2 linked regions of the Callithrix jacchus genome follow. The protein of the gene in region 2 purifies or fractionates together with the protein of the main gene of each other region. This does not show direct contact. Links are inferred from orthologs where the notes say so. Each region holds a gene or a part of one and is shown on either strand. Other genes may lie near its edges.

Evidence for each region. The genes of interacting proteins can lie anywhere in the genome.
Region 1: the proteins of HERC5 (region 2) and ISG15 purify together in Homo sapiens (affinity purification with western blotting; 3 studies listed by BioGRID, with this or other methods). This does not show direct contact. The link is inferred for Callithrix jacchus from reciprocal best matches to the Homo sapiens genes HERC5 and ISG15.

Annotation. Positions count from the first base shown.
Region 1 is NC_133508.1:39,227,896-39,232,412, reverse strand, and holds ISG15 (ubiquitin-like protein ISG15), read right to left. Parts: upstream 2,230-4,517; 5' UTR 2,168-2,229; coding exon 2,165-2,167; intron 1,784-2,164; coding exon 1,268-1,783; 3' UTR 1,226-1,267; downstream 1-1,225.
Region 2 is NC_133504.1:109,218,607-109,224,460, forward strand, and holds the start of HERC5 (E3 ISG15--protein ligase HERC5), read right to left. Parts: upstream 3,355-5,854; 5' UTR 3,202-3,354; coding exon 2,937-3,201; intron 1,136-2,936; coding exon 1,012-1,135; intron 348-1,011; coding exon 271-347; intron 1-270.

The DNA.
Region 1 (4,517 bases), on a different chromosome or scaffold from region 2:
CACCCCCTCACCCCAAGCTAGCTACTGATCTCTGGGTCAGAGTATGACAGAGACTCTGCCCTGCCCTGACCCTGTGGGGGTTTCAGGAGAGACTCCTGGGCCAGCTTCAAGTGCCTGTTGTGGCAAAGGGATGAGGTGGGGACCAGAAACAAGGCTGGAGCTGAGACAGCCCCTGCTGGACACACTCAGGCACACAGTGGTCTTGGTGCAGCCAGATGGGGATCCCCCACCCAGACATGGACTCACAGACCACGGAGGGCTCTGTGTCTCCAGCCACATCCCCTCCAGGGCTCTGAAAGCTGAGGCCCAAGTGCCCCAATCCGGACTCTGTGTGTCCCACTGTGCCGTGTCCTTGAAGTGTCCTGGCCGACAGCTGGCTTCTGGGGGGACTCATTTAGCAAATTGGAATCGAGAGACAGGGAAGGGCACATCAGTGGGGAGGGGGGTATAGCTTGTACTGACTTGGGTCCCCCCACCTGGGACAAGCCCTTCTTCCTGGACAGTGTCAGCCTCAATTCCAGGTGCCCCCCACTGCTGGCCACAGCCCCTCCCTCATGCAGAGCCCTGAAGAGTGTGCTTGGGGCCACCCAGGCTGCCTTCTGCTCTTCTGCAGCTGGCCACAGTGGTGATGTGAGGTTCAGACCGTCTCTACTCCTCCCTAGCCCAGCCCAGGCAGGTGGAGCAGGCTGTGCATGCTGCCTAGGGATAACTAAGGCCCCCAGCCCCAGTTCCTGTGCAGAGCCTGCCTCACGGCCCACTGGGTAGGCCCCGAGGAATCACCCCTCACTGCTTCCATGAGCCTCCCTGGTAGCCTTTTGATCTGAGCAGGCTGGTCCCTGTGCAAGCCGTCTGCTGTCCCAGATGCTGGAGGGCCAGGTGGGTTCCATCAAATGCACCTCTTTTTCTTTCTCTAGAAGATAATTTCCCAAAGGGTGGGAAGACCTGTCTTACTTCAGTTTTGGGGGGGTCCCTATTTTGATCCCTCGAGGCTGTAACTGCAGGCCCTTCACTTGGCAACGCAGGCCTGGCCACCAGGATATACCCTGTGTTCTCCCTCCTGACTCCTCCCCTAGCCCCATCAGCAGGGTCAGATCAGAGGTGGCCCCTGGAGTGGCAGGTGCAGACACAGAGGCAGTTCTCCCTCCTGACTCCTCCCCTAGCTCCATCAGCAGGGTCAGATCAGAGATGGCCCCTGGAGGGGCAGGCGCAGACACAGAGGCATCCATTTCCCCTTGCAGCAACCTTTATTTCCAGCACTTGATCCTGCTCAGATGCTGGCAGGAGGCCCTCTGCTCAGCCTGCCAGGCTCTGCGCTGCCTCCCCGCAGGCGAAGATTCATGTACACGGTGCACAGGGGCTTGAGGTCATACTCTCCCAGCGGGAGCTGGTCCTCCATGGGCTTCCCCTCGAAGGTCAGCCAGAACAGGTCTTCCTGCACGCCCTCCTGCTGGCTCACTTGCCGCTTCAGCTGCGCCACGGTCTGTGTCAGTGCCACCTCATAGGTGCTGCTGCGGCCCTTGTCATTCCTCACCAGGATGCTCAGAGGTTCATGACAGCTGTCCACCACCAGCAGGATGGTGCTGCCGGGGCCCAGGCCCTGGCTGGCAAGGGGGACCCTGTCCTGCAGTGCCATGCCACTCGGGTAGATGGCCAGACGCTGCTGGAAGGCGTGCACACCGATCTTCTGGGTGATCTTTGCCTTCAGCTCTGACACCAACATGGAGTTGCTCAGGGGCACCTGGAACTCGTGGCCCCCCAGCATCTTCACTGTCAGGTCCCGGCCCTGCAGGAATCACACAGGCTCAGAGACTCTGCACCAGCCCCAGGCCCACCACACATGAGGCTCTGGCTGCACAAGCGCCTGTGCCCAGGGATACTGCTCCATCCACATGTTGTCAGCAGGGACCGCAGGCACAGAAGGCACTGAGGGGTCACTGCTAGAAGGTCAGCTGCCCACAGCCACCTTGTGGCCTCCCCTTACCTGCTAGGACGCCCCTCTGTGCCCCACCCCGACACTCTCCGGGGTGACCCGCTTTCAGGAGAACGTTCAGGTCACCTGGCTGACCACTCAGCACCCTGCACCCCCAGGAGACCCTGGCTGGGGAAGAGAGAGGAAAATGGACTGAACGCAGCCCCCCGCCCCCACCTGTGGCATCTGCCTTACCATGGCTGTGGGCTGTGGCACAAGCTCCCATACAGCAAAGATGAATGCGCTGCCTCTGGGCTGCCAGCTCCCGAGCCACCACCGGCCCTTTTATAAGCCTGAGCCGCACATGTCAGGGGGCGTGCCAGGGGAGCCTGAGCCTAGTGGCCAGATTCAGCTTCGGTTTCAGTTTCCTTTTCCCGAGGCAAGCCCGGGAGTGAGTAGAAGAAACAAAACAGAATGACGAAAACAGAGGGAAAAGCAGAAGCAGAGTAGGCAGGGTCTCAAGGGCACGGTCAGGGACAGGGACTCAGGACAGCGGACAGCGTCCCCACCCCTGCCCAACGCCCTGGAAACACCTGAGTATCCAGCATTCTGGGTCCTTCACGAGATGTAGTAACTCATCGTCGCATGAACGAATGATGGGCAGTTTTCATTTTCCATTTACCAGTTTGCAAGATTAGTAAACTTGGAAGTGAAACAGTGACCGTCCAAACTACCCAGAGATAACCTCACTTGGTTTAGGGAAATGTTTGCTCAGATTGGTGTTTTTTGTTGTTGTTTTTGTTTTTTTGAGACAGGGTCTCACTCTGTCCCCCAGGCTGAAGTGCAGTGGCACGATCTCAGTGCACTGCAGCCTCCACCTCCTGGGCCAAAGCGATCCTTTCACTTCAGCCTCTTAAGTAGCTGGGACCACAGGTGCACCAGCTAATTTTTTGTATTTTTAGTAGAGATGGAATCTCTCCATGTTGCCCAAGTTGGTCTTGAACTTCTGGACTCAAGTGATCCACCTGCCTCGGCCCCAAAAGTGCAGGGATGACAGGCCTGAGCCGCCACGCTCAGGCCTCATATTGTTTTTTAATAGAAGAGACATATCTTTTATTAAAAAAAAAAAAATGAATTCTGGGGCCCTACTGAGAAAGTGAAAAACAATCCACAGAATGGGAAGAAATATTTTCAAATTATTTCTCTGATGAGGGGCAGCATCCAGGGCGTACAAAGAACTCTTACAACTCAATTTTAAAAAGGCGAGTCAATTTTAAAATGGGCAAAAGACTTCAATAGACATTTCTCCAGTGACACAGAAACAGCTGCGTACCTCGGGAAGGCGGCCGTATCATTATTCATGGGGAAATGCAAATCAAAACCCCAATGAGAAGCTGATTTCGATTAGCATGACTGTAATAATGAAAATGAAGGCTCACTGAACATGTCCTCCAACATTTCAGGAGGCTGAGGAAGACATATCACCTGAGGTCAGGCGTTCCAGACCAGCCTGGCCAACATTTTTAGTAGAAACCTCATCTCTACTAAAATACAAAAATTAGCCAGGTGTGGTGGAGGGCACCTGTAATCCCAGCTACTTGGGAGGCTGAGGCAGGAGAATCTCTTGAACCCGGGAGGTGTAGATTGCAGTGAGCCAAGACTGTGCCACTGCACTCCAGCCTTGGCGACAGAGCGAGACTGTCTCAAAAACTAGTATAAAATAAAAATAAAGGACAATAACAAGCGTTGGTGAATGACTACACGGAGAAGTTGGAATCATGGCACATAACACTGCTGTTGGGAATGTAAAATAGTTTGGCCACTGTGATCCTCAAAATGTTAGACATAGAATTATTGAGTAACTCAGCATTCCACTTGCAGGCATGTGTTCAAAAGAATTGAAAACAGGTGTTCAAATACTTGCATACAAATGTTCATAGCAGCACAATTCACATTAGACAAATCTTGGAAACAGAGCAAACGTCCATCAGAGATGAATGGATAAACAAAATGTGGAATGTCCATGCAATGGAATATTATGCAGCCGTGAAAAGGACTGAAGCACTGATTCCTGCTACGATGTAAAAGAACCTCACAAACATTATGCTAAGGGAAAGGAGCCAGATACAAAGGCGGCAGGTTGTGTGATTCCACTTACTGCAGGAAAAATGCCCAGAACGGATAGACCACAGGAACAGGAAGTCAGGCCTGTTACCGGGGGCTGGGGAGGAGGGATGGGGTGATAACAGCCGTAGAGTGATGGTTGGACAATGTGATGAATAAAGGCCACTGGATTACATTCTTTAAAATGGTTAGTTTCATGTTATATGATTTTCACATCAATAAAAAGCAAAAGAGAAAAAGCCTCATTGTATGTTCACCAGTTTGTAATCTGCTTCATTCAGGAAACAATGTATCATAAACATCTGCCTAGGCCGGGTGTGGGTGGCTCACACCTGTAATCCCAGCACTTTGGGAGGCTGAGGCAGGCGGATCACTCAAGGCCAGGAGTTTGAGACCAGCCTGACCTGCATGGTGAAACCCCATCTCTACTAAAAATACAAAAAAAAAAAAAAAAAAAAAAAAGGCCGGGAGCAGTGGCTCACAC
Region 2 (5,854 bases):
AGTTTTGATTATTCAGAAAATTTTCACTGTTTTGTACTTGAAAAATAAGAACATAAAACCAAATTTAGGAGTAGTAATTATGGAAACCTGAACATTTTATAGATCCAAGAATTCTCTCATTTTGTATTTGCTTTAAGAATATATTTCTTATTCTTAAATATACAAAACTATATTTCTGTCCTGTTACAAAGTGAAGTATAGACATTCTACTGGCTCCACATACACACACATGTATTACTTCTAAAAACTATTGTTATTCTAGAAAAATACCTTTTGAGAGTGCAAGAGAATGATAATCTCCACATGTGATCTGGATTATTTTTTTTTCTTGTAAAATGCTTTCAAACCTGATGAAAAAAATACATTTTATGTTAATCACCATAATGAAAGTAACAATATGGATTTTACAATTATTAATGGTATTTAATTAGAAATAAAGCGCAAGAAAAAACTTTAAATTTCATGCATCACATTCAGTACATCTAAAATTATTTTTTAAATACTATATGTTTTAATTAGTGGTTTAAGAAAAAATAATATGCATTACATAATTATAATAAAATGACTAAAATATTCTATGCAAACAATGATTTTATGATGCAGGAATAAATGCAAGATGAAAATGAGTTCTAATTCATAGAATCTACTAGGGAAAAGTCTCACAAATCATTTCATGATATACGTATTTTTTTCTAGGTTAAAAACTTTTATTTCTGGAAATTTAACTCATAGGATTATTGTGAGGATCATATGAGTTAACGAATGTGAAAATCCAATTTAGGGCTAGACAGACTATTTAATCAATATCTTTAAATGCCAAAACAACACATTACACTTGCCCTGGGAAACATGGATTTTACTCGTCAGTTTTGAATTTATCATTTACTTAAGATGCTACTATATAAAGCAGGGACAAGAATCAGATATGGTAACATTTTCCTACAAAAATTATTGTCTTTTATTTAAAATTAAAATAATTAATAAAATTAATAAAAGAAAAAAGTTCCCTACCTTAGATGTTTCATGCTATAGTTGTCATACTCAAATGGTTTTCCATCTGATGATAGAATCAGCATGTGGTCTGCTCCCAGGTCCATGGAATGTATTTTCATGTTTTTTCCTAACTTAATGCACTCTACAGAGCAAATTCAACCAGGAACGATGATTATTTTTATTATTACGCACTGTATTACTGATTTCATTATAATACACTTAAAAGATCTGGGAAAAATTTCAACTAGACAAGGTTTGACTTACCATGAATTTCTCTTAAGAAAATTCAGGTAGGCAAAGCAAATTAAGAATGACAATTGTCTTGACAGATTTTTTTTAATTTGAAAAAATATTGATTTATACTTTGTTTTAAATGGAACATGCCCTTAAAGTATCCAATTAAAGATCTGCTTTTAGATTCTTGTTTATTAAGTGAAGACAAACTAAATTTGAAATGACACAAATGAAAAGTTCTCTAAAAAATATTACTTTAGGACAACATAACTCATTTCAAGAACAATACATTGTGTATTCTGAAACATATTCCTTTTTCCCAAAAAGCAAATAATAGTAATAAACACCTCCCAACAGTTTCCAGTAGAAGCCAATGCCTGTATTCTTAAAAGGAAAGATTATGTTTGGGGGACTATTTTTAAAGGGGATGTGGTTGAATACACTTTTCATTAGCATTAGTGCACATTTGGTCCTTTTTAAAAGTTAAGAGATTTTAAACTGTCCTCTACTTAAAATGTACTCTTATTTAATTTGTTCACAAAAATTAAACTAGGTAGTTTTGGGCCCTTGTCTCATCTTCAGTGACAATGAAATAGAATCTATTCCTGTAAAAGTCTCACAGCACAAACCATATTACAAATGCTAGGAGAACTAAAACAGTTTGGTAATAAGAAATCGCCCAACAGACTTTCTTTTAAAGAGACTCAGCATTTCGAATCAGTTGAAAAATAGGAGGTATTAAGAAATGGTAATGGGACATTGGCTGGGCATTTGGAAAAACAAATAAATAAATCTAGCCCCCTACCTACCTCAGTACTTAAATTCCAAGCGTACAAAAAATTTTAACTTAAAAAAAAAAATCTTAAAATTACTAGAGATGAGTACTTTTTAAAAAATCTTGGGAGTGTAGGTAGCTTTCCAACCTAACATAAAATCCATAAGCCTACTTAACAGAAAAAAATCGATAATTACCCAAAAAACTGTGCACAATAAAAAATAACATTCCATGAAAGGCAAAGTGAGAAAAATATTACAACATGTACGAGGAGCAGAAGACTATTCTTATTCAGTATTCAAATATCCCTTCCATACCAATAAGTAAAAGATTTAACAACTCAATTTTCAAAAAGCCAGGCAAAGATAAACAAGCAGTTTACTGAAAAAGGAATGCAAATGCCCAGTAGAAAACCGCAAAGATGTTAGAGTTAAATGCAAAACAAACCCACAGCAAGATACCAATTTCTTCACTTCACAGACGGTAAAATTTTAGTGTGGGCATTCATTTTCCCCCACCTCGATGAGAATGTGGGAGAAGTGCAACTGAAGGTAAAATCCCATCACTGAAAACGGCTCCCAAAGTTGGAGCAGTGACTACTTTCTCAGGAGTTAGTGGGAGATGTGGGAGCGGGGGGCGGGGGGCGGGGGGCCAACTTGAACAGAAACCTGTGGAAAAGCCAGACTGGCTAAAAGGATGAAGATGCTGCCCGCAGGTTCTGCGCCAACCGCGTTGCTGAGTGCAGGATTCGCTGGTTGCCAGCATCCCGCGCACCCCGCGCCCGACAAAGACCAGGGTAAAAGAGAGCTCAGGTGCGCTGTCAGCGAAACGACCCGAGCCAGACTCGCGAGTGCGGCCTTCTGGGCTCTCTCCCCTCAGGCGCGGATCCCCGGTCGCCCGCCCCTCACGGCCCTCACACACCAGCCCCACTCACTCGGCGTCCGGAGGCCGTCGCTCCCCGGGAGCAGCTGATGAACCTGGACGCCCGCCCCGCCGCGCTCCAGGAACGCCAGGCGCCCTGACGAGCAGCAAATCTGACGCGTCGCCTCGACACTCCGGAGCAGCGCGCGGCGGAGGCCGGCGGTGCTGGGGAAGAGCCAGAGCTGCGCGCCTGGAGATTTCGCGGGCTGGGACGCGGCGGCCTGGCCCGCGACCGAGCGCCTGTCTCGCCGCGACTTTCTTCCCGACCTCCGCTCCATAGCTGCTTTGCTGGGTCCCCGGCCCAGAGGCGAGAGGACAGAACTCGACGTCCCGGGACTGGGCGCGCCCACTGCTCTGGGCGTCGCGCGACAGAGCGGGAACCGGTTGCACGCAGCTGCGTGGCGTCGGGGAACCGCAGCCTCCGCTACTGCGCCCCTGCTGTTTGGGGGCGTGGCCAGCAGCTCGATTCGGAAACGAAACAGTTTGTTGTTTTTAGGGGGCGGAATTGAAAAGGAAAAGGAAACTGGGATGAGAGTGACTGGGCAGGCGGCCAAAGGCAACAGGTCGATGGCTAGAGTAAAGGCCGTTGGCTGAACTGAGAAAGTATCACGGGCGGGCAACCACCACCTGAACTCCCGGACGGAATTGCTTTCAAGGAAACGCTGCCGTTCCGCTAGGAGGCACCCTGACACACGCATTTCCAGAGGGAGGGATAACGGAAGTCAAAGTTTGTTAAGCGTTGTGCGCCAGGCTCAAACCGGGATGAAACTAAGGAGAGCTGTGCAGTCAGCCCCCCCAAGCCCCCTCCCTGACCCCCCCCGACAGCCCGCCCCGCTATACATACACCTGGGAGCCTGGCAACAGTGATGTGCTTTAAGCCTTTTCTAGAATGTCGTATTAATGGAACCATACCTAAGTGGTGGTTTATGTCTGGCTTTTAAAACAGCACAATGCTTTGAGATTCATCCTATTGTTTCATTAGTAATTCCTTTGTGTTATTGCTGAATGGTTATCATGTGGATATGCCACAATTTATTTATCCATTCACCAATTGATGGGCCTGTCAGTTACAGGGAACAGGAGAAAACTTCCCCTTTGCCCTCTGAAGGGTCACTGGAAATAACTAACAAGTCCGGGCCTGGGCTCCTGCTTGTAACCCCAGCACTTTGTGAGGCCGAGGCAGGAGAATCTCTTCTTTGTGAAGTGTGTAATCAAATCTTTTGACCATTTATTTATTAGCTAGCTTGACTTATTATCTAAGAGGTCTTTATATATTTGAGTTCTTCGTATGTTTCATACCATATTCTTTATTAGCTATACATTTTGAAATGTTTTCTACCTATCTGTGGCTTGCCTCTTCATTTTAAGTGTCTTTTGAAACATGGAAGTTTTAAATTTTGATGTCATTTATCCATTTTTTTCTTTTACATAGTTCATACCTTTTTTGTCCTACTTAGGAGATTTTTGCTAAACTAAGATTATAACATTTCCTCATTTGTTACCTTCTAGAACTTTTAAAATTTTTTGGTCTTCATTATATTTAAAATGAATTATTCTTTATAGTATTGATAGATGCTGGAGGCAGATAAGTGAGGGTACCCAGAGAATCTCTGACCTGCCCCACAGCTTTTGTGCATCTGAGGAATACTGGGGAGGGTCTTGTCTGGGTATGCCGGCAAGGGACTGGGGCCTGCCTGCACTGGGAGAATGGGGTGCAACCACAGGGAATTCAGCCTTATAAAGCAGGGAGGAGCCTCTTTGGCTTGTGTATGGTGGCTTGGTATTCAGTCTGTGAGGTGGGAGCCTGTTGGCAGGACCATCCCCCCTTTGTTTTCTTGCTGAGAACTTTCTTTTAATAAATGTGTCAGCGTTTAGGGGAGGATGTTTACAGCTCCTGAAGTGCCAGTGGCTGTGCTACTGTGTGCTTTTTTAGTTTTGCTGTCTATAGGCACTTGTGTTAACCAGCTCAATTAGACCCTCTACCTTGTCACAAAGACAGAGGGCTTTCTGTATCCCGGTTCATGCCTTGGTGTACCAGAAGAATTGGATCACACATAGGCGTGGAGAATGAGGGCAAGGTTTTATTGAGTGGAAGTAGCTCTCAGCAGATTGGGGAGCCAGAAGGGAGATGGTTTTCTCCTAGAGCCGAGCGCCTGAGCAGCCTGGGCTCTCTTCTGATTGCCCTAGACAAACTCCACATTGTCCCACTGATCGATAGCCTGCTGGCATGCTGGTGCCTTTAGAATGGTTCTTGCCACACAGTACCTACTACAAGTAATTATTCAATGAAGTAATGAATACCTTAACATTCAGATTTTTCAAATAAATTATTCGGAAGTTTGCTAAAATAAAAACTATACAGATATTCCTAAATATAATATATATATATATAGCAAGGTCAGGGATATAGGAAATGTTGCTTTACAAAATATTGTTTTATTAAAAATATTATTTTTGGCTCACACCTGTAATCCCAGCACTTGGGAGGCAAGGCAGGAGGATTGCTCGAGCCCAGGATTTCAAGACCAGCCTGGGCAACATAGTGAGACCTTGTCTCTTAAGAAAAAAATTATTCTTGATTCATTACTTATTATTTAGCCAACCATTTTTCAATTAATTCTCTTTTTTTGAAATTGTAAATTGGCAATTTATAATTGTATACATTTATGGGGAACAAAATGATCTTATAATTTATGAATAACAATTTGGAATAATTAAGTTAAGCTAGTTCGTACATCCATCACCTCAAATACTTAACAATTTCTGTGGTGAAAACATTCGAAATTTACTCTTAGTATTTTGAAATGTACAATACTGTATTGTTAAGTATATTTACCACACTGTGCAATTGAACTCAAAAAAAAAAAAAAGAACAGGCCGGCTCATGCATCGAGGCAGGCAGATCACGAGGTCAGGAGATCAATACCATCC